Ovis aries: one gene and its partners. The protein of the gene in region 2 interacts with the protein of the main gene of each other region in a biochemical or structural test. Links are inferred from orthologs where the notes say so. Each region holds a gene or a part of one and is shown on either strand. Other genes may lie near its edges.

Region 1 (4,144 bases), on a different chromosome or scaffold from region 2:
AGTGGTGTGGTGAGAGCTGACCCCCACCTCCCAACTCCCGGGCTGCACTCACATCATTGATGTCGATGTTCTTGTCCACGTCGACCACAAACTTGCCCTCCGGATGTACCTACAGAAGCAAGGGCGCATGACCGTCCCTGACAGTTACCAAATCACTAACCTCACCCAGAAGACCCATGAATCTTACACTAAGGTGAGAACAATGTCCTCACCGCGCACAACGGTACGGGAAAGCAGAGGCAGGTGGCTGGTGCCGGGTCCTGCTGCCTTTACCTTGACGAGCACTTTTTTCTTATCCATGGCCCGGACTACTTCCCCCACGTAGGAGCCCTGTTCCTGCAGCAGCTGTAGCTCCTCCCGCAGCAGGCGAACTAAATGGAAAGCAAGACACCATGATCAATCAGAAGTTTTGAAGGGAAGGACTCAAAGTCTAGAATTCATGTGTTTAAGGAGATTACAATGAAACTCAAGAGAGAATGAAGCAATGGGCACTTAGGTGAAGACTCGCTTCAAGGACACGGAACACTCAGAGCTCACACCAGTTGCCTCCATGCAGCCCTCCCATCTTTCCCTCCTCACCTTTTGCATTAAGCTCATTCCTCTGTGCCTGTAGCCTCCGAAGATTCTGGCTCTTATCATTCACAATCAGCTATTGGAGAACAAGAAGCAAAGGGTAGAAAACAGGAGGAGGTTAAAATCTTGGCCAAGACCCTCATAGGCTGATATGAGCTGAGTGAGGAAAGCACAGGGCACCTGCATTCCCCATTCAGATTCTCCAATATGACTTTAACCTTGACCCTGTCCTCCAAGAGCGCCTCTGGAGCAAAGGACCACCACGGGGGCGGGGTGGGGGGAGCTGTCTGTCTAAAACTGGTCTAGGAACCCTAATGGAGACAAGGTAACAGCTGATTAACATAGTTTCTCAGAGTGGGAACTTGGGTATTGAAGAAGATTTCTGAGTCAGAATCCTAAGTTCCAGCCCCATTGCTGGCAATCATCAGCTGAGTAAAGCCAATGAAAACCATGAGAAAGGTCTAGATCTGTTATAAAACCGAAAGTGGGTATAGCACCCCTATCCTGGCTCTTTTCAGGATTAACATAAGGAACAAATGAAAGCACATGTTGTTTAGTTGCTAACTTGTGTCTGACTCTTTGTGATCCCATGGACTGTAGCACACCAGACTTTCCTGTCCTTCACTATCTCTTGGAGTTTGCTCAAATTCATGTCTACTGAGTCAGTGATGCTATCCAACCATCTCACCCTCTGTCGCCTCCTTCTCCTCTTGCCCTCAGTCCTTCCCAACATCAGGGTCTTTTCCAATGAGTTGACTCTTCATGTTGGGTCAACAAAGTATTAGAGCTTCAGCATCAGTCCTTCCAATGAATATTCAGGGTTGATCTCCTTTAGGATTGACCTCCGTGCAGTCCAAAGCACTCTCAAGAGTTTTCCCCAGCACCACAATTCGAAAGCATCAGTTCTTCAGTGCTCAGCTTTCTTTATGGCTCAACTCTCACATCTGTACATGACTACTGGAGAAACTACAGCTTTGACTATATAGACCTTTGTCATACAGGTAAAGCATTTCAAAAATGACAAACCAAATAGGATACCCACAAATGTACCTGAAGTTCAGAATTTTCCCTTGTGGCGCGCCTCCATCCAGTTTACGTTATTTTCCTTATTTCTGTGGTCCTTGCTGCTTCTCTAGGCTAGAGCACTGGGCTGTTCAGTTTCATTTCATTCAGTCCGGTGGAATCAGCATTTTCCAGACTCCTGAATTCTTCTCTCACTCTGCCCCAACCCTTCTCTGATAAATGTCATTTCCTGACCCTGTGTCTTCTCTTCACAAGAAACTGTTTCATTTGGGTTTCTAAAAGGAACGACTTTTGGCTGGGGGGTACTTTTATGTTAAAATTTGACTCTTGAAGATGTGTAAGAAATTGTGAATATTAATTATCTTCAAAAAGATGGGGTTTCAGGGGAACATGAGACAGTTAATTTCATATATTTTATACTATTAACTTGTCATCAATACTAATTTTTCCACTGCATGGCAGTGGAATTACATGGATTTGTAGAGATCTGCTCATCCCCCTTCTAGTTCCCTCTGGACCTCTGAAGTCCGTTCTCACCTGGAGTTCTTCAATCTTGGACAGATAATATTGGCGGAGTCCACTGCCTGTCTTCCCCTCTTCCAGCTCCATCTGAGGACACAGTGTAATTATTAACCAAAAGGCTAAACATCCAAAGGATAAAACTATTTCCACGTTGACTTCGGAGATTCAAGATTTGTGTTCTCGTCCCTCACTCCATCTCTTCACAACCATTTCCTTAAGACTAAAACAGAATGAGAATGCCGCCTGCCTCTTAAGACTTTCAGGAGGATCAAGAAACAGCGCATCAGGGAACGCTACACAATCCCGAGATGTTATTTGTACAGGAGCAGCCAGCACGGGGCTCCCGAATCCCGCCAAGAGTGGGTTCCCGCTCCCGCGGTTCTCACCGCTCCCGCTGTTCTCACCGCTCCTCACTCAATCGGCTTCCACCCGGTCTTCCACTCCCGGCCCTGCCGTGACCCGCCGCGGGCGGCGCTGACACAGCAGATCCGGTCCCAGGCAGGGCCCAGTCTAGACTGGCCCACCCACCCCGGACGCCCCCGACCCGCTGGCCCCGGCCGGCTGCCCACCTCGGATCGCACCTGCTTCTCATCCAGCCCCGGTCCCCGCCCGGCCGCCGCCGCCATACCTGCTCTGGTCCGTCAAGCGCCATCTTCCCTCTTCCGCGGAGACCGCCGGCATCAGAGCCGCTTTGGCGCGCAGGCGCAAAGCCGGCGCTTGCGGGGTGGGGGGGTACCAAAGACTCGGGCAGAGAACAGTTCCGGGTCAGTGGGCGGGGTGTGAGGACGGACGGTAACAAATAACAAGGGACATGAGGGGAGGGACGGAGTTACCCTAGGTCAGGATCTTTGGTGTAAAAGGCACAGAACTCCTAAAGTTACTCTCTAGAAATTCGGTTTTGGCGGCATGCCAGCTTCCAACTTATAAAACCTGGGGAAGGATTACAGGGAAAATATTTGTGGCCACGCTCTAAATGGCGGAAAACTTGGAGCCGGGACGCGAGCGACGCAAGCGGAAACGGAAGTACGTTTGCTGCCCACATGTGCCTCTCCAAGGTGGAGAAAACGGTGCTGGTTGCAGGTGAGTGGTGTCGAGTAAGACTCCGAGTGTCTCCGCGACAGCGAGTGGGAAACGGAAGGCGGAATCTAGTGCTCCGGGAAGAGACGTTCCAACTTCTGCTTTCTCTCCCGCTTGAGTGGTGCCCCCACGTTACACCATGGGCAAAAAGAGCAAAGTCGGGAAGAGCCGGCGGGACAAGTTCTATCACTTGGCGAAGGAGACCGGTGAGTCAGGGTTCGTGCTGTCAGAGCAGGCGAGCCACCGACCTCGGTCGGTTCGCCCCGCTTTCCGAATATTGAGTTTCTTTTCCGCAGAAGGGGTAGTGGGTCGGGAGGCCGTAGAAATCGCGCTGGGAAAGCGCTTCGCGGACCTTGTTACAGAATTTTGTCGCCGCCTCCAGGTTACCGCTCCCGCTCTGCTTTCAAGCTGATCCAGCTGAATCGCCGCTTTCAATTTCTGCAAAAAGCCCGAGCATTGCTGGACCTGTGCGCTGCACCGGGTGGATGGTGGGTAACACCTGGCACCTGACGCTCCTTATGGAAACTTTCTGGGTTCCAGCCTTGGATGACTGAGAATTGACGTTGAGGGGCGGGAGGGATACAGTAATACCAGCCTCAAATTTCTGTACTCCCCAGAACTGTAAGCTTCAGGAGGGAAGATTTAGAACGTGTACATACGTTTGGCTGGTACTGGCCAGGGTTCTTCAGCTCCATTCAGTTGCTCAGTTGTGTCCGACTCTTTGACTTCTGCACACCTGGCCCCCCTGTCCATCACCGACTCATGGAGCTTGCTCAGACTCATGTCCATCGAGTTGGTGATGCCATCCAACTATCTCATCTTCTGTCGTCCCCTTCTCCTGCCTTCATTCTTTCCCAGACCAGGGTTCTTTGCCTTCCCCAATCAATAGAAATTGATTAGGGGCCAGACAGGAAATTCAGGCAAAGCTTTACTGGGGCCCCTGCTGCAG
Region 2 (3,500 bases):
CCTATTGCCTCAGCTGCCTCCATCCCTGCCGGCACAGTCACTGTGAATGCTGCTCAGCTCTCCTCCATGCCTGGCCTCCAGACCATTAACCTCAGTGCATTGGGTGCTTCAGGAATCCAGGTCCACCAGCTTCCAAGCCTGCCCTTGGCGATAGCAAATGCCTCAGGTAAGACTTGAAATCTTGTGCATTTATCTCTAGAGCTACTTAGCATCTCAGCTGAAACCACTGAGTCTAAAGAAGAGGGAGTAGAATCTTTTGAGGGCAGTGCTTCTGAGGGCAAGTCATTTAGAGAAATAGCAATGATTTTAAGTCATTTGGAGCTGACTTAATAAGAACTTTTTCCTCTTCAGTTAATCTGTCCAGAAAGGAGCATTTCTGGGCAGTGTCCTTGGGGTCTGTACTTTCAGTGCCTGGTACTACAGTACAAGAGTGGGCAAACTTTTTCTTTAAAGGGCCAGATAGTAAATATTTTAGGCCTTGTGGGCCACATAAGTTCTCAGTTATGTGTACTTTTTTGTTTCTGCAACCTTTTAAAAATATAAAATATTCTTACCTTGAGGGCTTTATTTGGCTTGAGGGTTCTTCTCTGCTGATAGGAATGGATTATAAACTTATCTGTAGGGTAGTTATTAAATCATCAGATATTTCTCACAAACTGTGAGAAAGCAGGGGAAAGCAGGGGAAAACTGATGGATTCCAAAGGACTTCAACAAACTAAGTTCCCTGGTTAATCTTTTAGTTAACCAGAAGAGCTACCCTTTGAGGTTTAATTTTTTCAACTCCTACTTAGCTTGAAAGTATTAATGTGTATTTTTAATAAGCTTCCTAGGTGATTTTCTTCTGTTTTGTTTCTTAAGCCTCCTAGGTAGTGATTCTAATACTTTCTAGATTAGAGAGCCACTTTCTAGACTGCTTTGAAACTAGTGTATGGTTGAAAGGTAGGAGAGAACAGAAGTGGGGCACAGAGTGGAGTGGGGAGATGGAATTGAGAGGAATTAGAAGTAAGAACTTTGAGGGGGAAAGAGAATTGTCAAGGAAGGGGATGTATATATTGGAATGTATGTTGAATCAGTTGACACTACTATTCAGTCATTTATTTTAAACTGTATTTTACTAGTATTGGTTAATTTGAAATTTAAAACCTCTATTTAAAACGGTGAGAATTTATTTAGAGTTTATCATTTTAAATTTCATGGTGATAGAACTAATCTTTAATGAAGCACGTTAGGATACATATGCATCTTTATATTCTGGCATGATATATAGAAATTATGATGAGAAGTTTAATACCACTGAACTTCTACTTCTGTTGGTGTATCTGTGGATTTGTTAATTGTTTACTTTTATTATAGAGTTCTCATTCTGTTTAGATTGGTTCTTATGTAAGAGAGGGTAACAAATAGGCAACCATATTTCCTGCTTCCTGCAGCTTAGGAAAATCTGTGGTGGGGAGTTCTGCTCAAGTTCACTGCTTTCTTACAGTCTTGTATGTTTAAAATTACTACATTTTGAGCCTTAACAGACAGAAATTTTGTTAGTGAATTGGAATTTTTAAAATAGAAGGTTAGAGCTGAAAGAGACCTTAGGAATCATCTCATACTCCTGCCTTATTTTCCCGATAAGGACTTTGAGATACTGGAAGCACGTATGTTATGAGACTACTCACTGTTAGTTCTAGTCTGGCGCATCCATTACCTATTAATTTTAACTTGGGACAAGAGATGTCATGTTTCAACTTGGGACATGCTTTAAATTGTTAAAAATCTTTTGGAAAATATATCTTTTGTTAGTTTGGAATTTAAGGCTAGAGAGCTGGCAAGTGTTTATAGACTAAAAATTATGTGAGTAGAAATAGGAAGAGTTTATAAAAACTGAACCTAACAGCTTTGAAAATTAGACACTTTCTGGGCAACCTACGTTTGTGTGTTTGTTTTCTCTTTGGTCTCAAGTTATTGAGATTGTTGCAGATAGTATTAATTTGGATCCTTGCAGTGTGTAAACGGTTGATAACTTGAGCTCCAAGGAACAGTTATGAGACACTTTCATTGCTAAATCATGGTCTGGGGAAGTCTGCCATTTACTTTGTCATAGGATAGGGCTACCTTCCTAGCTGTTATTGATGGTCTCTGAGCTCTAGAAAACGCATGCCTTTCTATAAGATAGTAGCAGCTTGACATTCACTAAGAAGAGAATGAAGCTCTGAAAGGCCATTTTGTGAGAGTTGAGATTGCTTTGTTAATAGTGGTTTTGAAGATATGTGTTTCCTCCTTTCTGGTTAGTCATAGTTGTGCAACATGTTTTCCCCTTCAATTGATCTGACTTCAGCCTTAATGAAAGATAATGCAGTCATTTCCTGGAAGCTTAGTGCTCTTTAGCTGTTGCCTGGCTGCTACAAAGTCTCTCATTTTACCCCTTTTTCTGGTATATAGTTATTTTATTAGAAAAATTCAGCCTCTTGGCAGTATGATGTAGTGGAAAGAGCGATTAATATGAGCTCATGTTGTAAGATAGGTAAGTAGATAGCATTCTGCAAAGGGAGCCATTATTTTTAAATGGTTGTGGAAGACTGCAGCTTCTGTGTCACTTAATAGATTTAGTCTTTTTTTTTTTGGCCCTACCGCATGGCTTCTTGTAGGATCCTAGTTCCCTAAATAGGGATTGAACCCTTACACCCCCACCTCCCACCTCTAGCAGTGAAATTGAAGAGTCCCAGCCACTGGACGGCCAGGGAATTTCCACATTTATTATTTTTAAAAGTCATCTTTTAAAACTTTTCTAAGTTCTCTTGTTGACTTTTATTATATTTATTTGTTAGTTTGAATATACAGGCAAAGGCACAAACTTAGACCCCAAATCAGCCACCCATCTCTGTATTCCTGTTTTTCACAGTTCTGCCACTGGTGGGTGATAGTGAAGTAGGGACCACCCGTGGAATGATCTATTGGCTCTTAGTTTTTGTTGTTATTTTTTAAGTGAGCAGCTTTTCCTTTTTTAAAAAATTAACACCCTGTCCCCTTTATCCTTGTATCAACACTCTTTTCCTCTCATTTGGTAGTTATACGCTCTGATCTCGGTTCTAGGTTTTTTGTGTTTTTTTTTTTTTTAAGCTTCAAGCTTCAGACTTTTTTCTCAGCCCTGGCTAAGTTCAAAAAACTCTTCCCCAAGGTTGAGGAGGGGCCAGTTTTGAAAGACTTAGTTTGGATGACTTCGTGGGAGTTCTGCCTAACAAAGAGTGCGGGACTGGGCTTTGGCAAGAGAATAAAACATATTTCCTTGATAGCTATAATTGACTCATGAAGCAAATTTCAGACACTAAAAATAAAAATTTCACATCTGCTTAGTTTTATTGGGGTCAGGAAAATGTCTCCTCTTAGAAGTTAAGTTGAATGCGATACCAGAGTTGGTCTGCCAACAGTGTCGCTAAACTTGGGGTCAGATTGCTGAGACCTATTTTGTTAACAGAGTTGTATTTTAGACTAGTTCATTTGAACATAAGTGT
Region 3 (4,168 bases), on a different chromosome or scaffold from region 2:
CTTCCAGTACAACTGACATTTCCATAGTATGTGGAGACTCTGGGACAATTCAAAAATACAGTTAAGTTCACTTAAGAGCTAAAAATGATGGTCCTTGTAAGGAGTCCCATACTACCAATGAGCTTATTTCATCCAACTAAAAGAGCTTTTTATGACAAAATACATAAGAGATTTAACTCTCATCTTAGTACCTCTGTCTACTTAGTTTTGGAATGATCTTAATTAAAATATCGTTAGACCATTAATGGGAAAATGAATTTGAGGAGCAGGTTATTAAGTTAAACCATCATTCATCTTGCATGATAGGAAGACAGTGGTTCTGTTAGAACAAGGTTAAAATCCAAACTCTGAGATAATATCTAGGATTTGTCATAAGAGTTTGCAGACCCCAAAGTCTAACATTTGCAAAGCATAATCCAGGCAACAATTAGAAGCAGGACTAACAAGTGTGCTAAAGAGGAAATCAGATTTGTCATGGGCAGTTGAAACATATTAACGGTACAATCAATGGGTGATTGGTAAAATTCATCTTTGGAGGCAATGAATGTCATCCATTATTATTTCAGCTCAAAGTTTACTTTGAGGTTAAAATTTGCTGTGAATTTTAAATAATACACAAATTACTGTTATTTCCAAAGCACTTCTCTGCTATACCCCTCGTTTATACAACTAAAACTGATATTGAATTCAGTGAGCTGTCCAGTGAACCCACAGTCTGATGGTAAAGTAGCACAAACTGTAGACAGAGCTGTCCATAGCAGTTACTCTGACTCACAGGAAGACAACTGTCTTTCTGATATCAGACAATCACTCAGACGGGTTTTACAGAAACAAATTTTAGAGCTGGACGGGATGTCGGCTATCTCAATATTTAAAGCTACATCCTCAGATGGCGTTCTCTGAAATGGTGTGAACAAAGTTAGTCTTAACTGAAATATATTCTCCCAACTAAGCAAATATTTTGAGGGTCAATTAAGTCTTTGGGATCTAATGAAATTGATGTGATTAGCAGTGTACCAACCCAACTCCAGTGTTCTTGCCTGGAGAATCCCAGGGACAGAGGAGCATGGTGGGCTGCCGCCTATGGGGTCGCACAGTCGGACATGACTGAAGCGACTTAGCAGCAGCAGCAGTGTACCAGAAGGAGCACGGGATTAGAATCTTTTTGGAGGTCACCAGGTCACAGATTAGCTGTGAGGCCTGAGATAAGTCACACCCTTTCTAAACTTGTTATGCCTAACTCATAATGTAGTAAGGCTCAAGTAAAATGTCTTAGAAGGAAAATATTAATCCGACCTATTTAACAATTACTTTTATTCAAGTTTTCTTTAAAACTTACCAAAACTACCATCCATTGGGTAATCAAGAGGTGCCAGTGGCTTTCTTGGTCCTGGTAAAGTAACAGCTGAATGAAAACCCAAGACATCTTCACTTTCTGATTTTTTAGATTCAGTTGGCCTCTTTTGAATCTCTTTTTCTGCTTCATCCACATGAATGGTAAATGCAGGCTGTTTACTGTTTGCTTTCCAGGGAGGAACAGTGACATGCTCATCATTTACAGGAAGATCCTTAAGAGGTGCAACCTACAATGAAATAATTAAATGCTTTGAGCCTATTAAGTGGAATTTTACTTTCATCCCCTTATACTGCTGAGTATAGTCCCAAACCCTCTTATCAGGAAAATTAAAACTTTTGGGGGCAAAGTTCAGGCAAGGAAATTTGAGTAGCTGGAGAAAGAAGAGATGCTTCAATTTGTCATAGGCATTCCTGTGACACCAAAGATTTCGGTCACACCAAATGGAATTATGCAAAACTAGGCCAGAGATGGCTGGAGTGGCAGGCCGAAAGATGCCAAATTTAACAGAGATGGCAAAAAACAAGTGGTTTTCCTTTTTCACCCTAGGGTGGAGCAACAGAGCAAATTCAGTAAGATGGCGGAATTGACCAATAGCAAAGCACTTTTCATACCTTCGCCCAAAGTAAAGGTAGTTTCTTTACCCATCCATATGGGGAAGACGAAGGTCGGAATAGTGCCTGGGTTTTAGAGCAGAAAGGCGTGGAGGCGGGCAAAGACCATACTCAACGTTGTGGGGCCTGGTTTGATCCCATTATCTATGGAAAAATACTCCCAATGGAAAGCTGAGAGGCAGCATGAAAGCACAGCGCTGTCAGGAACAGTATGGAAGAGTAACTAATGGGAGTAATGTGGCGTCCTACACTCTAGAAACCCAGGGATCAAGGAACTCCAGATCCTAGCCTCCCGCGAAAAGCCCAGGGAATGCTTTCTCGCCACTCTCCTCTGCCGGCTAAACCCGTGCAAAACCCCCGCTCGGCCCTCCCTCCTGAGGATATCGTTCATTGCTTTACCCGTCGCGTCTTAGGCCTCTGGGGCGCTGGACCCCGCGAGTTCCCGGCCCTCAGTACCGCCAGCCCAGCCCGGGTCCGGGGCTGCTGGGCGGGCGCCGACTTCTCGGGGTTGACGTTCTCCTGGTCCTCCTGGAACGCCGACTGCTGCAATGTTAGCGCCGAACCCGCCTCGCGGGCCGCAGGCCCGTGCGCGGAGCTGCCCAACATCTCTGCTCCCGGGGGCGCGGCGGGATCAGCCCGGCGCCAAGCAGCGTGCACTGAGTCCCGCACACCAGCCGAGGAACACTCCAGCCGTACCCGCCCGCCGCAGCCCGAGCCAGCCTGCCCGTCTGCTCGGAACCGTGCAGGACCGAGGAGACTGAGAAAGGCGGAGGCAAGAACTGCCGGGCGTGGAGGGACAAGGACGCCCCCGAAATGAAGCGAGCAGCCCGCCGGAGCTGCGGCTGTTCCCGCAGTTCAAGTATCCCGCGACTATTGAAATGGACCAATGAAAGGTGCCGGTCCCTGTGACGTCACTCGGGGCGACGCGGTCGCAGGCGAATGAAGGCGGCTGCGAAGGCACCCGAGCAGGGGCGGAGCGGGACGAAGAAACAGAGAACGGCGGCAGAAGGAAGGACGCCTGCGCCGGGCGGGGAGGCGGGGCCTAGGCTTATGGTGGCTTTAAATACCGCCGCTAAGCAGTTCCTGTCTTAGGCTAGGGGCGGCCGCTAGTACAAAGTGAGTTACACTTTAGCGATTATTAGTGGGCCGTACATAGAGTCTGACGGGTTAGTCCATGGGGTCACAGAGTCAAACATCACTTAAAGACCACACCATCACCACCCGGCCTTTAGCCACAGGACCTCCAGTTAGCTTGACTGAAGTTTCTCAAGGTCTAAAATCGGATCCGGCCATACTGGCCTGGTGGTCTTGTTCAAGTTACTCAATGTTCTGATTCTCAGTTTTCCTATCTGTTAACTGGGGTGATTATATCTACACGTTATAAGTTATCATTAGTATTAAATAACGTGCATAAATCATTTCATACGCTGCTTATGTAATTGATACTCAAGTGGATGACTATAGTGTCATCTTACCATTTTCGTGCTTATTCACAGTCTTATACTTTTTATTTTTCTTCATGAAGATGCAATTAAACTGCCACCTTGAATTACTGTTGATATACGTAACAAACTAATATACAAGAAATTCAACTAGTCAGCCATTAACCTTGGCTGTATGGCAGCCAACAAAAAGCACGGAGTGAAATTCCAGTGACCTAGATATAATTGTGTTCCATTTAGAAATGAAGGTTGTTTAAATATAGTAAAAAAAAAAAATATGACCTTATTAAAATAAAACTGATAGAAATACGTGCCTTTAGCAAATTTTCACATTTAATATATAACAAGGCTTGCACATAACTAATAAATATAATGGTATATAATTGAGCATTGTTGTTTCCCAACAAATTAATAAGTGTGCCCTTCTTGAAAACACAGAGAATAGTTTATTTTCTATTATAATCCTTATGCCACTTTAAAAAGCACAATCTTAAGTATAATATTCACCTGAATATGAATAAATATGAATTAAGATTGACAGTTATATTTCCCTCCATATATGATAAAAAAGGAAAATTAGTATTTATTAGTGCAGGAAAATCTAAGAAGCCATCACTATTTCTGTACTATTCATATGTAGTACATTTGTATGGCCCTACTGGTTACAGCACATCAAGTTAAAATCCCCCCAATCTGTGCAAGGTCTGATTTCCCTGGCCACAGTTTAAAGCAATGAGCCAACCCAAGTATTTAACAAA
Region 4 (3,446 bases), on a different chromosome or scaffold from region 2:
CAACCATGCAACGGTGGGGATCGGTGGGCGGCTTGAAGGATTGACCCAGGACCTCCAGCAACTGCAGGAGAGCGAGCAGCAGCTGGATCACCTGCTCCACATCTGCAGCACCCAGCTGCGTCTGCTCTCCGAGGATGCGGACAGCCAGCGATATCCTTGAACTGCCTGGAGGGTCACCAGGGCCCCATCTAAGTGGGAGTGGAGGGCCTTACCTTGGGCCCTGGATTCAGGAAAGAGTTCTGGCTTTGGATACCGGTCCTGGCTCAGCATTCACTCCCAGTGTGACACTGGACAAGTTACTTAACCTCTCTGAGTCTCAGCTTCCTCTGGAAAAGGGGAAAAACAATCCTACTTCAAAGCTTTTCGGATTAAAACCAGAAAAGCTAATATCAGTAATAACTGGTTTATTTAACACAGGGATAACATTTATTTAATACAGGGATTTAATACCTGGTTGTAGCTTCAAGGTTAGAGTTGCTTTTATTTGCAAAAATATAAACTTTATTTTGAAAGAAGTTATGTTTATACATTTTGGAGATAACGGCTCAGACGGTAAAGAATCTGCCTGCAGTGTGGGAGACCCGGGTTTGATCCCTGGGTCAGGAGGATTCCCTGGAAAAGAGAATGGCAACCCATTCCAGTATTCTTGCCTGGAGAATTCCATGGACAGAGGAGCCTGGTGGACTATAGTCCATGAGGTCATAGAGTCAGACATGACTGAGAATTTAACACTTACACACACACACACACACACACACACACACACACTAATTGACATCAAGGTCATGGGTCAGAATAAATTCTTAGGACTATGCCTGGATTTAAGTAATTTTTATGAAATGATTATAGGCAGCTGTCATTACCTTGAGCTTCAATAGGTAGAGTGATCTCATTGTATAGATGTAGAAGCAGGCTCAAGGGCATGAGATCTGCTTGACCCCCAACCATGTGCCAGGCCTTGGAGTGGGTGATGCAGAGGACAGGAGTGACTAGGCAGCGATGGGCTCTGCCTTCTGAGCTGTCTGGGTGGGTGGCCCCCAAAGGCCAAAGATCATGTGGTCCTTGACTCCACCAACCCTGGCCTATGTGACCTGCCAGGACCTTCGTAGCATTGCAGACCCTGCAGAGCAGATGGTCATGGTGATCAAGGCCCCCCCTGAGACCCAGCTCCAAGCCGTGGACTCCTCGGAGGTGAGACCTGGGAGTCTAGACGGGACTAGGATGGACTGGACTGGGCTGGGCTGGTAGTCCAGCTGAGCCTCAGTTTACCCTGCCTGCTACCTCCATCCAGAACTTTCAGATCTCCCTTAAGAGCAAACAAGGCCCCATCGACGTTTTCCTGTGCCCTGAGGAGAGTGTGGGCGGAACCAGCCCTGGAAAGACCCCGTCCCAGGGGGCAGCTTCGGGGGAGGAGGAGAGGGCAGCTGACCTTGCCACCGCGGTGCCACCACCACCGTCGTCACCTCCCTCATCCCCTGCCACGGATCCCAGTCAGTCCCTGCTCAGCCTGGAGCAAGGTTGGTGAAGGCCGGGTGGGCAGGGTGGGCCCGGCCCCTCCCCGAGGTGGGTGGGCAGGTGTGTCAGCCCCTCCCTGCCGGGGGTGTCCCCGGCTGTGATGCTCCTGCATCTCCCCAGAGCCTCTGCTTTCCCGGATGGGTGGCCTGCGGGCCCCCGTGGACGAGGACCGCCTGTCCCCACTCGTGGCGGCCGACTCACTCCTGGAGCACGTGAAGGAGGACTTCTCCGGCCTCCTCCCCGAGGAGTTCATCAGCCTGTCGCCCCCCCACGAGGCCCTCGACTACCACTTTGGCCTCGAGGAGGGTGAGGGCATCAGAGACCTCTTCGACTGTGACTTTGGGGACCTCACTCCCCTGGATTTCTGACGGGGCTCAGGGGGACCAGGGCCTCCTGAGATGCCCACCCCGTCTCTGCAGCCCTGGAGCCCCCCGCCCCTGGCCGTCCTAGCCTAATTGGAAACATTTAATTTATGCCCCTCTCTCCTACCTCCAGAGGCTTCTAGCTCTGGAGCCTGGCTCCTGCCAGGAGGCTGAGCAAGCCAGGAAGGGAAGAATTCTGTTTGTGGTGTTTGTGCATGCACCCAAGCCCCGACGTGTGTGTCCACGGGGTGAGTGGTGTGTGAGCATGTGTGTGTGCATGTCCCGGGGAATGAAGGTGAACACATCTGTGCGTGCACTGAAAACACGCCCCAGTGTGTCCACGTGTGTGTGCATGAGTCCATGTGTGCGCGTGGTGGGGGCTCTAACTGCACTTTTGGTCTTCTTGCTCCAGGGGCCCCATGAGGCCCAGGGTGGCCACCTGCCCCCAGAATCCTGTGTGCTGACCAGGCCAGGTGGCGAGGCCTTGGCCTGCTTGTTGGCAGGACAGCGAGAGCACTTCTATCGTCTTAAAGGTTTTTCTGATTGAAGCTTTAATGGAGCGTTATTTATTTATCAAGGCCTTTTTGGCAAGCTTGGGGCATCAGCAAAGGGTAGGAGGGATGTGGGACTGGTGCCGCAACTCCCTTACTCCCTGAGTGAGGGCAGGGGTCCTTGAGCTGTTCTTTGCCCCACTCCGAAGGAGCTGAGGCCTGAGTGGTTTATTTATTCGGAAAGCGAGGGAGGGAGACACAGACTGACTGACTGACAGCCATGGGTGGATTGAGGGGGTGGTCCCTCCCGACGGGGTCCCTGCAGGGCCCCAGCTGCCCCCAGGATGGATGTGAGATGGGAGAGGTGAGTGGGGGACCTTCACTGACAGGGTGGGCGGGAGGGGTGGGGTGAAGGGCCTCCCCCCCCCAGCCCAGACCACAGGGGCCCTTCCTGTGGCGTTTGAAGTGCCCCCTCCACCCTACTTCTTGCTCTGCCCCACCCTCCAATCTGCACTTTGATTTGCCTTCCTAACAGCTCTGTTCCCTCTGCTTTGGTTTTAATAAATATATTGATGGTGTTTGGGCCCTGTTTGGGGACTCTGTACTGGGAGCAGGTCTGTGGGTGGGAGAGGTCAAGGTTGCTGGTGTGATGACCATTCCCTACTTTACGTTTCCCTGTCCCTGCCTGGCTTCATTTTATTTGAGCCTCACAGCCCCAAGAATAATCGTTTTCATCACCTTTTTTTAATCCTAATTAAAAAACTGGTTGAGTAAAGTAAGCAATGAATTCCTTTTTCCAGCCACAGAGAGGCCACCCTGATCAGTTGGCTATGCTCCGTCCAGATGTTTCTGGACATTTGTAAACAGGCAGCAGATAATTACAACCAGCTGATTCTGTGTCAGGTTCTGGGGACGTGTTCCTCCCTTTGTGGAGCTCTCAGAATCTGCTGGAGGAAACTCTCAAATAAACGAGAAAATCAGGGAGAGCTTCCTGGAAAAGGTGGTGCCTGACCTAAGGCTGTGGGATAGTAGAAATTAACTGAGAAGGAAGAGGAATACACCAACCAGGAGAAGGCAA
Region 5 (4,216 bases), on a different chromosome or scaffold from region 2:
GACAACCGGTTTGAACGCTGTCTTGGAAAAAAAGATGAAAGCGTCCTAGACAACCCAATCAACTCTCTTTTCAAAAACTGCGCTACAGAAAGCCGGTAACCGTAGGAAGCTCTGAAGCGGGAAAATCCACCACTATTCCGCTTTGGGATGACAATAGATTTTTAGAGTGCTAATACTCAGCCTCAGGCTCCGCAGTGCAGGAGCAGAGGGCACACTCCCTAGAAAATACTAGTCTAGGGAAAGACACTTTCTGATCATTTACAGCCACCATGCTCGCGTGCTGCGGGCCTCGCCGCAGGGCCCTTGTCTCCCCGCCCCAAATCAGGCTCGACAACTTCGAATGCGCCAGGGAGCGGGACTAAGAAGCCCCAGCCAGAGAACCCGCCAACTACGACCGGGTTGTCTCACGAGCCCCGCCGGCAGCCCACACCCACCCGAAGCCTCAAGATAAGATGGGGAGGGGCGTTCAGGACTTGGACTGAAAAGGTACTTGAGCCCACACACAAACGGGGCTCCACGCAGAGACTCACCAGCCTCTGAGCCGGCCATGTCGCGGAGGCAAGTCGCCGCCGGACTCCTAGCCGGGCGCGCGCGGGACGGCGTCCTGAAAGGGCCGCACGGCGCAGACCCAGGGCTGACAGGAGAGGAAGCAAACGAAAGTGCCGGGAAGGGGTGCGGTGAAGGAGGGAGGGACGTTAAAACGGCTTCTCGCTGCTGATTGGTCACCGCGGGAGTACTTCCTTTGGCGGCACGTGCCGAGGTGGCGGTTTGCGAACTCTAGATACCATTTTTCACCAGCCAGACCCCGCTCAGGGGTCCTGGGGTGGGTGGGTTTGACAGTTCGGGTCGCCCAACAGCCCCGGCCGATTTCCCGAGGGCATTAGCACGGCACTTCCGGTGAGCTATTTCGTCTTGTACTCCTCCGCCGACGCCAACTGGGGAAGTAGTGCGTCCCGCTCACTCGGCGGGCGGGGCAGCCACGTGACAATGTCAGGCTCCGCCTTCCTGTCGCCCCTAGTAATGGGTGTAAAGGCTCTTTGGAGACGTAAACATCTTCAAGGGGACCGAGGGAGTTGACCTGGGCTGGACATTTTATTGTCTGGGCTAGACCTGGAAAAGGGCGCAGTGGTTTCCCTGAAGTGTGAAAGACCAGAAAAAGGTGAAGTCAAGAGAGTGCAGGCTTAGGCATCCCAGTGGAGGACCGCGGGGTGGGGGCGGGTCCTATCCTTGAAAGGGGCGAAAAGTCGGCAAAGGGCCCGGGGGGAGGGGCGAGAAAATGGCGGATCCCGGAACGCCGGCAGGCGTTAATAGCTCTGCGCAGGGGCGGAGTGATTAGGTCATAGAGCGGCTCCCAGCATTCTCTGCGGCGGAGGAGGCGGGCCAGGCTATAAAACCGGCTGCCGGGACGCGGCCGGCACCTCATTCATTTCCACCGGTCTCTTGTTGGGCAGCCTTGGCTTCTGTCATCGTCGTCCCTCCGCCGCTGCCGCCCCCGCAAGGCTTTGCCGTCGCCGGAGCCACCTCCAGCGACTCGTCGCACCCGATTCTCTCCGCTTCGCTTCCCGCCAACCGCAACCATTGACGCCATGTCGGGTTATTCGAGTGACCGAGACCGTGGCCGGGATCGAGGGTGAGTGTGGGAACCGACCTGTCAGGCCCGGCGGGTGGGGGATGGGAGACCGATGAGGGTTGCGGGGGTGGGGTGGCGGGGGCAACTCGGCTTCTAAAGACTATTCTCGGGCCTCCGCCATCGAAAAGGGCTTGCGCCATTTTGTTATTTGTCCAAACCTGGACTTTTCATGTTAACGGTCCTCAAGATTCTTTTTTGTTTTGGAGGGGGTATCGGGGCCTTGATGATTTGGCAACTGTTCGGAGAATTTCGAGCACATTTTTTGAGGGGAGGAAAGCGCAGCGCTTTGAGGCGAAGTCGCCACTATTAGGTGTAAGCTTACAGGAATTTTAAGGAATCTGGGGGTTCTGTGGGTGCCGAGGGGGCCGCCTCCGAAGCCGTTAATGCGGCGAGGGTTGGAGGGTGGCCGGTGCCGCGGGAATCGGCCATGTGGCCGAGCCGTGGGTACAAAATGCCGGCGGCGGACATGGCGGCGGCGCCTTTGTTACCCCGCCCGGCGGAGGAGCTCAAAATGGCAGCGTCGAGAAAATGTGGCGCAGAGAGAAATGCGAGACAAAGGGGGAAGCGCCGCCCCAGCGGGAACGCCGCCCGAAGGACTCCGCCCGGGCCGGGACTCCTCCCCCGGTAGTCTCCGGCTCCTCCTCCTCGTTTTCCTTTCGTTATATAATTTTGCTACCTTGGTAGGAAACCGTTTTGAGGGATCCCCCCAACTCGATTGGCTTGCCTAACTGTCCCCGAGCCACCCGCCGTGTTCTGCACTCACTTACCTGTGTTGTTCCGCTACCTATTAAAATCAGAGCTCTTGGTTCAGGACAGGTGCTAAGTAACATCTGTGTTAAGCTTCTGCTTTATTTTTTTTTGGCATTTAATTCTTTCGCTTGTGTGAAAGAGTAGTATCCACCAGCTGTTGTTTGTCCTTGTATCTGAACTCCTAGAGCTTGGCCAGCCAGTTTCCAACCTAGTAAATCCCGGGCTGTTGATTTGTTTTCAATGGTGTGTACTTCGTGTAACGGGAAATGAGGGAGATGTAGTACTAACTGGCTTTTGAAAGAATGACCATCACTGAGGACAGCACTTGCATCTCCAGAATCTTTCATTGAGTTTTAGCATGTGCGCAGGGATGGTAAAATAAGTCTGTACATGTTTGAAAATGCAATTTTTTTTCCCCTCAAATTTTAGGTTTGGTGCTCCTCGATTTGGAGGTAGTAGGGCAGGGCCCTTATCTGGAAAGAAGTTTGGAAACCCTGGAGAGAAACTGGTTAAAAAGAAGTGGAATCTTGATGAGCTGCCCAAGTTTGAGAAGAATTTTTATCAAGAACACCCCGATTTGGCTAGGCGTACAGCAGTGAGTAATTTCATGTGGTTTTTTCAGCTTGTAACTCAGTGACATTTAAGTTTGACTAGAAATGTCTTGCAAACTTAAAGGAATGTTAATGTTGATAATTATTAACTTAGGGGTGTGTTGGTCGTGTGTTTAGTTAGGGGGAGTCCTCGTGAGATAACTGAATTTTATAAATTTCTTTTGTAGCAAGAGGTGGAGACATACAGAAGAAGCAAGGAAATTACAGTTAGAGGTCATAACTGCCCAAAGCCAGTCCTGAATTTTTATGAGGCAAACTTCCCTGGTAAGTGCTAGTTTTCCCCACCTTAAAAAAAAAAATCCCTTTCTCATGGCATTATTGACGTTTACTTAATTCTTAACATTACAGCAAATGTCATGGATGTGATTGCAAGGCAGAACTTCACTGAACCCACAGCTATTCAAGCTCAGGGATGGCCGGTTGCTCTGAGTGGATTGGATATGGTTGGGGTAGCACAAACTGGATCTGGGAAGACTTTGTCTGTAAGTTTGGGAAACTTTGAGTTAGGTGACAGGTCCTGAAGAAAAATGGGTTGGGAATTAAAAGAAACCAGAAGTGTTTTTAATATGGCTTTTTTTGTTTGCTTTTCTTTTGTATAGTATTTGCTGCCTGCCATTGTCCACATCAATCATCAACCATTCCTAGAGAGAGGTGATGGGCCTATTGTAAGTGTACATTGTATTCTCTTAACTTGGTTAACAGCGTAGAGATTTGTAGAATATACAGCAAAAGAAAATTCTGGTGGTTTTATATGGAAGGTTATGTTTTTCAGTGTAGGAAGGGACAAAGCTGCTTTGGGTATTGACAATGTATATCATCTGCTAGTGTAGCAACAGTAAATTAGCACTTCAAAACTAGAATTCAGGGGTCTCCTAAAGGTGTTCCACTTTCTCTTTCCTTAGTGCTTGGTGCTGGCACCTACTCGGGAACTGGCCCAACAGGTGCAGCAAGTAGCTGCTGAATACTGTAGAGCATGTCGCTTGAAGTCTACTTGCATTTATGGTGGTGCTCCCAAGGGACCACAAATACGTGATTTGGAGAGAGGTATGTAACCAAAAAGGTTTTATTTGTCACTGATCATGCAGGAAGTTCTGGATGTCATGGTAACTTTTGTGTGTTTAATTAAAGGTGTGGAAATCTGTATTGCAACACCTGGAAGACTGATAGACTTTTTAGAATGTGGGAAAACCAATCTAAGAAGAACCACCTACCTTGTCCTTGATGA
Region 6 (3,500 bases), on a different chromosome or scaffold from region 2:
TTCTTAAGGAAATGTGTATGATGGTAAATTATTTTTAAACATAGCAAACTTTTTCATGTTTATACTTTAAGGAACATAAAATTGACACACGAATTCTGAACTTAAAACAAGCACTCAAACTGTTTCTAAATTAGCTTGTGTATTACTTTATAGTCATATCACTTATCTAAATGTAGGAGTAGGAGAGTCTTCTAATACCTCTAAAAATAAAATCCAGCCAGTAAGTTCTGTAAATGTACAAAAACTGGCCCAGTTTCTTGTAATTGCTTAAATCAGACTAGCTAACTATCCTCTCTGAGCTCTTTTTAAGCTCACCTGAAGAAAAGCCGTCCCAACTTAAGTGTGTGTGTGTGTTGCCCAGTTGTGTCCAACTCTTTCCAACCCCATGGACTGGAGCCCACCAGGCTCCTCTGTCCCTGGAATTTTCCAGACAAGAATACTAGAGTGGATAGCCATTTCCTTCTCTAGGGGATCTCCCAACCAGGGACCAAACCCGGCTCTTCTGCACTGCAGGCAGATTCTTTACCATCTGAGCCACCAGGGAAGCCATTCCAACTTAAGGGTATTAATAATTCTCCATTCCAAATTGAACTTATGGTCTTCAGTCCTCAGCATTCAATACAGATACTTAATAAGCATTTAAAAATTTTGGATGTATAGTTACAGCTATATTTATACACATATATATATAGTAGATAGATAACTATGTAGTTATATGTAACCATATTATAACTATTGTGTTTTGTTTTTCCTTTTTATTTATAGAACGCTAGCTGTATCACAGATTAAATAGGTTGGTTTTTGGAGGGTGGTTTGTACTAGGCCTTGGTTGCAGCATGTGGGACCTAGAGATCAAACCCATAAAGTTGGAAATGGATATATTGATAAATACATCCATTGGGTGTGCCGAGTCTTAATTCTTAGACCACCAGGGAATTCCCTAAGTATTAAAATAGGTTTTTAAGAGGTACAGTAGGAATCTAAGCATGTTTTATGACATTGCTTTTGAAGAGTTAACTTGAGCAAACATATGGACACCACCAAAATTTTAAGTTATAATTTTGGTGTATGATTTGCAATAGGATTTGATGTATTTTAAACGTGAGGCTATAGTCAGAGAAAACGAGTCAGTGGGGTGGTGTGTGGGGGACAGAAACGATTCCTTCTCCACAGTGCCTAGACTGAGATATTAATAGCAATAGGAAAAAGCACTGCCATAGCCAGAGCTTATGGCTTTTTCTCCTGCCCTGCATCACTACTTTGACCTAGAATGCTAGTAGAGACCTTTTCCCGGAACTTGGAAAAGATCTTGCAACTTTAACAAAGAAGTATTCTACATTACTTTTCTACTGTATCACCAACCAACTTTGGAGCTCCTCTGGGCAATGATAGTGTTACTAATATTTAACTCAGTACCTAACATGTACTTGCTTTATAAATGGTTATTGGATGAAGAAAAGAATGAACTTAGCAACAGAATTAGCAATAATCTGTAATTTATAGTTACAGAGATGAGATTTTTCAGTTTTCTAAATAAGTATGTACTTGTCAAAACCAAAGTCCAACAAACATCTAGTCAAATTAATGATTTTTTTTTACATTAGTTCCAATACAGTATGCACTAAACACTTTAAGAAATGAATTTACCTTTCAGAACTAGATGGAGGCTTTTTCTTTACTACCTCTCTTGGTAATTTGAAAAAATCAAAGTGCTGTATTAAACCAGACAACTTGAAGTTTTAAAGATTGAAAATAAACTATTAAAAGTACTACTACTAAGGTGATATTTATGTGATAAGACTGAGTTATCCTTAATAAAGATAACATGTACATAAAAATTAAAATATGCCTGTCTATATATTGAAGGTTTTATAGAATTTTTTAAAAATACAAAACAAGACTACATGTAGGAGAGCAGTTAGAGTAGTACCTCACTTACCATACGCCATTCTCAACTAGATGAACAGAGCAAGGATCTATTATCATTATGTTGGGGTTCAGGGTAGGGAGCTGGTTCTTGAAAAGACAAAACATATAACAAAATCGATGTACTTGACACATAAAACAGTTCTTTACTGTTTACTGTTAATTTTAGATACAGATAGTTCAAGTTTGATAATCAGATCAATACTGAGGGCAAAACAGCTTAGTGGGAAGATCACTGGGAAGGAGAGTGGGTATTAGGAGACCTACAGTGTACTTCCATATTTGCAGCTAATTAGGAACAGAGCAAGTTACCTAACAGGCCTCAATTTTTTCATTTATAAAATATGTATTATATACGTGTATTATCTTGGGGACTAGAGCAAAGGTAAAATGAACTAATGAAGATGCAATGTTTTATAAACAGTGAAAGCATTATTCAAATGTGAAACTTATATTACAGTAGTCCCAAGAATATGTATGTATTAGATGGAATGAAAGGCCAATATTTAACTCTTTAACATCAATTTAGTTCTGTTCACTTATGTTTTATAAATAGGGTAATGAATAGTTCAGGAAATTTTGTTTTAAAAAATAAGCTTTGACTTTTAGGGCAATAAACTTTAGTATAATCAGGAAAACTCTTATGTATAACATATCCCTTAATGTTGGAAAATAGGCATTATATATTTTGTTTAAAAAGCTAATGGGATATTTTTAAAATAAATAAAACAACCATATTTTTTATTAAAAAATTGTTTGCAGAACTACTGCTCCTGAGGAAGAACTAAATCCAAAGATACTAGCTTTGCAGAATGCTCAGAGAAAGCGAAAAATTGAACATGATGGTTCACTTTTTCAAGCAGTAGGAATTGTAAGTGTGACAGCATGTTTGCTTTTCTATTCTAGCTGATGTGCTATTTTTGAGTTAGATATATAGGTAACTCCTTGTATCTTCCAAATACTAATGTTACATTCTCAGAAGTTACACGTTGGTTTCTTTCACTTTGTACATGTTCTTTTTTAAAAGTACAAACATTTAATGAGTACAGTCTCAAAAAATTCCAAACACTAGAGATGTACTTAGAGTAAGTATAGTTCTCCCCTCATTCCACACCCAGTATCATTACCAAGTCTCTTTCTCTTCCCTTTTGGTTACTTTCCCTTCTTACCCACAGAACACAGTCAGTGCTAGTATAACCCATACTGATATTTTCAGACCAGATTAACTGGAAAGCATTTTTATGTAGTTGTCATATGAGTGGCAAATGAATTCATCACAGCAGTATTAAAAAATAGAATTTAAATAACTGAGAGCAGTCTTTAAGAATCTTGCCTATGTATTGTTAGCAAATTTATACTGATTTCAAAGTCCGTGATTTAAAAAAAAAATTCAACATAGTAAAATTGAAATAATTTTACTGTTTTCAGGGAACATTATTACAGCAACCAGATGATCGTGCAACTACCACATCACTTTCTTGGAAACGTGTAAAAGGATGCAAATCTAGTGAACAGAATGGAATGGAGCAAAAGACAATTATTTTAATACCCTCTGGTTAGTTTACTCTTTCTTC
Region 7 (4,218 bases), on a different chromosome or scaffold from region 2:
CGGTTTAAAAAAAATCCTCTTTCTCAATTTTTCCCTTTTGCCGTTTGTTTGTTACCATAGCAACAACAATTACTTCAGCTCATCAGCCTCAGTCTCTACTGAGTGGTGTTTTTATTCAGTTATCTCTCCATCTTTAGCTGGTTTCGAGGCTCACTGCCAGTTCTTTTCTCTCATTTCATCATTCATGAGTTTCTGATTCATGTCCCAGTGATTTATTGTATGATTCTGAGCAATTTTTGCAGAAAAGGGAGTTAGTTGGGTCGTGTATTAGTCACAGACTCTTGTGGTTGCAAGTGACAAAACCCTACCTCAAATTGACTTCAGTTAAAAAGGAGAATAGATATTGTCTCACGCACTTGTGAAGTCCAGCCTTGGCTGAATCGTTAGACCGTGTCGTCAGGAAATTGGCTCCGTCCCTGGACCCTGCTTCCCCGTCCCAGCTTTACCCTAGAGGGTGGTTCTCAGGCTGTGGCGTGTTTGGCCCCAGTCCCATACCCCCTGCCCTGGCAACCTTGGCGGAAGGGAAGTGCCCCTTTCTAGTTGCTTCTGCAGAAGGCTGGGCTGAGTGCCATTGGCTTGGATCAGGTCTCACGCTCATCTTTTGAACCAACATCTGTGACTCTGACTGGAGATCCCTGGGTCACAAGCTTATTCCTGACTTGGGGGGTGGGGCCAAATGCTCTAAGTGTGTAGAAGGGAGAGTTCACCCCCCACAGAAAGAAAACTGGATTGTTGCTACCAGAAGGAGAAGGGGTCAATGTAGGCAGAAAACAACAGATGCCCATGTCTTCCAAGACCACAGATCTGCGCACTGTCGCCTCTAGAGGGACACTCAGGAAGACATCCAGCAAGCCCTCTAAGCAGGGGCTTAGGTCTTGGGCTTCCCTGCTGGCTCAGCTGGTAAAGAATCCGCCTGCAATGTGGGAGACCTGGGTTTGATCCCTGGGTTGGGAAGATCTCCGGAAGAAGGGAACAGCTATCCACTCAAGTATTCTGGCCTGCAGAAGTCCGTGGACTGTATGTATAGTCCATGGGGTCGCAAAGAGTCTGACGCGACTGAGCAACTTTCACTTAGGCTTGGATAGCGGCTTCCGTGGGCTCCTGGCTCTCCAGAGCCATGTTCTCAGGTTCTCAGCTCCCTGCTTCTGGAAATTTGTCGTTGTCAGTCTAGCTAGATGATTCTCCCCACCGGGCCTGGCTCGCGCCAGCCTGACTCGGCAGAGGCTGATGTGTATCTAAACCCCATCTCGGAGGGAACAGCAATTGCCAAAGGACCTGAGCAGGGCTGTCTCCTGGTCAGTGCACTTTCCCTGTCGAAGACCACAAGGGAAGCCAGACTCTCATCACAGGGTTGCTTAGCGACCACAGAACCAGGCAAGAGAAGTTCTCCGGAGAAAGTCAGTGACTTTAAAACGCCCACAGATGCTAGAAGAATGAGGAGACGACACGTTACCCGCAGAGAGACAGGTATGTGGCGAGGTTGGAGGGCAGAAAAGAGCTGAGAGCTGTCTGGTCTGTCTGGAGCACGGGGAGCGGGCAAAATCAGGGTGGAGGGCAGGCGCTGTCATACATCACTTACATCTCAGCTAAAAAGAAAATAAAACAGTGCTTTCCCAAAGTGTCAGATGCATATGAAACCACTAGGGATCTTGTTAAAATGCAGATCCTGAGTCAGTAGATCTGGGGTGGGGCCCAGGATATTGTGTTCCGAACAGACCCCCACCTGATGCTGGTCTGAAGGCCACACTTTGAGTAGCAGTGATTTCCAAAATACTGAAAAAACAGAATGTATAGGAGTTTGCAATGGGTCAGATGCAGGGAGGGGTTGGGAGTAAGGTAAGATGCATTGTGAGGAGCATCCCCAGACCTCAGCTGCAGGACCTGGGTGGTGGTAGGACCCAGAAGCCTGAGATGAGGGACAGGTCTGGGTGGGGTCGATAGTGATCAGAGATGACATATACCGAGCGGTCGAGTGGGCCTTGGAAAGCATCGCTAGAACAGAGCTAGTGGAGGTGATGGAATTCCAGTGGAGCTGTTTCAGATCCTGAAAGATGATGCTGTGAAAGTGCTGCACTCAATATGCCAGCAAATCTGAAAAACTCAGCAGTGGCCACAGGACTGGAAATGGTCAGTTTTCATTCCAATCCCAAAGAAAGGCAATGCCCAAGAATGCTCAAAGTATGGGACAATTACACTCATCTCACATGCTAGTAAAGTAATGCTCAAAATTCTCCAAGCCAGGCTTCAGCAATACGTGAACCGTGAACTTTCTGATGTTCAAGCTGGTTTTAGAAAAGGCAGAGGAACCAGAGATCAAATTGCCAACATCCCCTGGATGATCGAAAAAGCAAGAGCTTTCCAGAAAAACATCTATTTCTGCTTTATTGACTATGCCAAAGCCTTTGACTGTGTGGATCACAACAAACTGTGGGAAATTCTGAAAGAGATGGGAATACCAGACCACCTGACCTGCCTCTTGAGAAATCTGTATGCAGGTCAGGAAGCAACAGTTAGAACTGGACATGCAACAAACTGGTTCCAAATAGGAAAAGGAGTACGTCAAGGCTGTATATTGTCACCCTGCTTATTTAACTTATATGCAGAGTACATCATGAGAAACGCTGGGCTGGAAGAAGCACAAGCTGGAATCGAGATTGCCGGGAGAAATATCAATAACCTCAGATATGCAGATGACACCACCCTTATGGCAGAAAGTGAAGAGGAACTAAAAAGCCTCTTGAAGAAAGTGAAAGAGGAGAGTGAAAAAGTTGGCTTAAAGCTCAACATTCAGAAAACGAAGATCATGGCATCTGGTCCCATCACTTCATGGGAAATAGGTGGGGAAACAGTAGAAACAGTGTCAGACTTTATTTTGGGGGGCTCCAAAATCACTGCAGATGGTGACTGCAGCCATGAAATTAAAAGATGCTTACTCCTTGGAAGAAAAGTTATGACCAACCTAGATAGTATCTTCAAAAGCAGAGACATTACTTTGCTGACTAAGGTCCGTCTAGTCAAGGCTATGGTTTTTCCTGTGGTCATGTATGGATGTGAGCGTTGGACTGTGAAGAAAGCTGAGCGCCGAAGAATTGATGCTTTTGAACTGTGGTGTTGGAGAAGACTCTTGAGAGTCCCTTGGACAGCAAGGAGATCCAACCAGTCCATTCTGAAGGAGATCAACCCTGGGATTTCTTTGGCAGGAATGATGCTAAAGCTGAAGCTCCAGTACTTTGGCCACCTCATGTGAAGAGTTGACTCATTGGAAAAGACTCTGAAGCTGGGAGGGATTGGGGGCAGGAGGAGAAGGGGACGACCGAGGATGAGATGGCTGGAGGGCATCACGGACTCGATGGACGTGAGTCTGAGTGAGCTCCGGGAGTTGGTGATGGACAGGGAGGCCTGGCATGCTGCGATTCATGGGGTCGCAGAGTTGGACTCGCCTGAGCGACTGAGCTGAGCTGAGCTGAACTGATTAGGTGCCAGGAGCTTTGCATCTGTTGTCTTATTCTGTGCAATAGGGAGGTAAGTGCTGTTGTGATCTCTGTTTTAAGAGTGGGGAAACTGAGGCCAAAGTCATACAGGTAGTAAGCAGAAAAGCCAAGGTTCAAGCTCTACCTTGCGGTCTGAGTGCAGGGCTCCTGCGGGTAACCGTCGACAGTTTGGAAAACGTGGAGCCGAAGCCCCTGTAGGTTGTCTAATGGATAACCTACCCTCTCAGACTCCTGCCAACTTGTTCCCATTTTTATTTGGCATTTTATTATTACAGAGGAGACATCGGCAGAAAACCAGCTTTCAGCTTTTTAGTTTTCGGCTGTGCTTTGAAACATACAGGATCTTCGTTTCCCAGCCAGGGATCAAATCTGCGTCCCCTGCATTAGATGGTGCTCTTAACCACTGGACCACTAGGGAAGGCCCAGCTTTCAGCTTTTCAAATAGTCCTTTTTTTTTCTCTCTCTCTCTTAAATGATCAAATACTGTGTTTTTCTATCTCTGAGAATTCAGGACTTTTCCAGACTATTATTTTTTTAATTCATTAATTAACTTTTGGTTGTGCTGGGTCTTCCTGCTGTGTGAGTTTTCTCTAGGTGCTGAGAGTGGGGGTTACTCTTCCTTGCCATGTGCAGGCTTCTCATTGCAGAGGCTTCTCTTGTTGCAGAGCAGGCTCTACGGGCTTCAGCAGTTGCTGTGAATAGGCTCAGCTGCTCCACAGCGTGTGGG

What was found.
Region 1: the proteins of SP1 (region 2) and PSMC5 form a complex in vitro, tested with the Homo sapiens proteins (2 studies listed by BioGRID). The link is inferred for Ovis aries from reciprocal best matches to the Homo sapiens genes SP1 and PSMC5.
Region 3: the proteins of SP1 (region 2) and CCNA2 form a complex in vitro, tested with the Homo sapiens proteins (2 studies listed by BioGRID). The link is inferred for Ovis aries from reciprocal best matches to the Homo sapiens genes SP1 and CCNA2.
Region 4: the proteins of SP1 (region 2) and E2F1 form a complex in vitro, tested with the Homo sapiens proteins (4 studies listed by BioGRID and IntAct). The link is inferred for Ovis aries from reciprocal best matches to the Homo sapiens genes SP1 and E2F1.
Region 5: the proteins of SP1 (region 2) and DDX5 form a complex in vitro, tested with the Homo sapiens proteins (2 studies listed by BioGRID). The link is inferred for Ovis aries from reciprocal best matches to the Homo sapiens genes SP1 and DDX5.
Region 6: the proteins of SP1 (region 2) and HIF1A form a complex in vitro, tested with the Homo sapiens proteins (2 studies listed by BioGRID). The link is inferred for Ovis aries from reciprocal best matches to the Homo sapiens genes SP1 and HIF1A.
Region 7: of the proteins of SP1 (region 2) and MAPK1, one has a biochemical effect on the other in vitro, tested with the Homo sapiens proteins (2 studies listed by BioGRID). The link is inferred for Ovis aries from reciprocal best matches to the Homo sapiens genes SP1 and MAPK1.

Annotation. Positions count from the first base shown.
Region 1 is NC_056064.1:47,802,286-47,806,429, reverse strand, and holds the start of PSMC5 (26S proteasome regulatory subunit 8), read right to left. Parts: upstream 2,801-4,144; 5' UTR 2,771-2,800; coding exon 2,747-2,770; intron 2,206-2,746; coding exon 2,134-2,205; intron 650-2,133; coding exon 580-649; intron 372-579; coding exon 274-371; intron 110-273; coding exon 53-109; intron 1-52. Other genes in the region: pre-rRNA 2'-O-ribose RNA methyltransferase FTSJ3, read left to right, coding at 3,335-3,401, 3,578-3,683.
Region 2 is NC_056056.1:133,122,313-133,125,812, reverse strand, and holds part of SP1 (transcription factor Sp1), read left to right. Parts: coding exon 1-166; intron 167-3,500. UniProt on the Homo sapiens protein: Transcription factor that can activate or repress transcription in response to physiological and pathological stimuli.
Region 3 is NC_056059.1:3,751,323-3,755,490, reverse strand, and holds the start of CCNA2 (cyclin-A2), read right to left. Parts: upstream 2,801-4,168; 5' UTR 2,575-2,800; coding exon 2,368-2,574; intron 1,584-2,367; coding exon 1,340-1,583; intron 40-1,339; coding exon 1-39. UniProt on the Homo sapiens protein: Cyclin which controls both the G1/S and the G2/M transition phases of the cell cycle. Functions through the formation of specific serine/threonine protein kinase holoenzyme complexes with the cyclin-dependent protein kinases CDK1 or CDK2.
Region 4 is NC_056066.1:63,133,772-63,137,217, reverse strand, and holds the end of E2F1 (transcription factor E2F1), read left to right. Parts: coding exon 1-150; intron 151-1,076; coding exon 1,077-1,191; intron 1,192-1,291; coding exon 1,292-1,517; intron 1,518-1,635; coding exon 1,636-1,883; 3' UTR 1,884-2,946; downstream 2,947-3,446. UniProt on the Homo sapiens protein: Transcription activator that binds DNA cooperatively with DP proteins through the E2 recognition site, 5'-TTTC[CG]CGC-3' found in the promoter region of a number of genes whose products are involved in cell cycle regulation or in DNA replication.
Region 5 is NC_056064.1:48,409,333-48,413,548, reverse strand, and holds the start of DDX5 (probable ATP-dependent RNA helicase DDX5), read left to right. Parts: upstream 1-1,416; 5' UTR 1,417-1,586; coding exon 1,587-1,630; intron 1,631-2,809; coding exon 2,810-2,975; intron 2,976-3,158; coding exon 3,159-3,255; intron 3,256-3,339; coding exon 3,340-3,473; intron 3,474-3,590; coding exon 3,591-3,656; intron 3,657-3,893; coding exon 3,894-4,035; intron 4,036-4,119; coding exon 4,120-4,216. Other genes in the region: CEP95 (centrosomal protein of 95 kDa), read right to left, coding at 531-549. UniProt on the Homo sapiens protein: Involved in the alternative regulation of pre-mRNA splicing; its RNA helicase activity is necessary for increasing tau exon 10 inclusion and occurs in a RBM4-dependent manner. Binds to the tau pre-mRNA in the stem-loop region downstream of exon 10.
Region 6 is NC_056060.1:71,952,513-71,956,012, forward strand, and holds part of HIF1A (hypoxia-inducible factor 1-alpha), read left to right. Parts: intron 1-2,688; coding exon 2,689-2,797; intron 2,798-3,354; coding exon 3,355-3,481; exon of another isoform or gene 3,482-3,500.
Region 7 is NC_056070.1:72,034,375-72,038,592, forward strand, and holds the start of MAPK1 (mitogen-activated protein kinase 1), read left to right. Parts: upstream 1-1,418; 5' UTR 1,419-1,433; coding exon 1,434-1,467; intron 1,468-4,218. UniProt on the Homo sapiens protein: Serine/threonine kinase which acts as an essential component of the MAP kinase signal transduction pathway. MAPK1/ERK2 and MAPK3/ERK1 are the 2 MAPKs which play an important role in the MAPK/ERK cascade.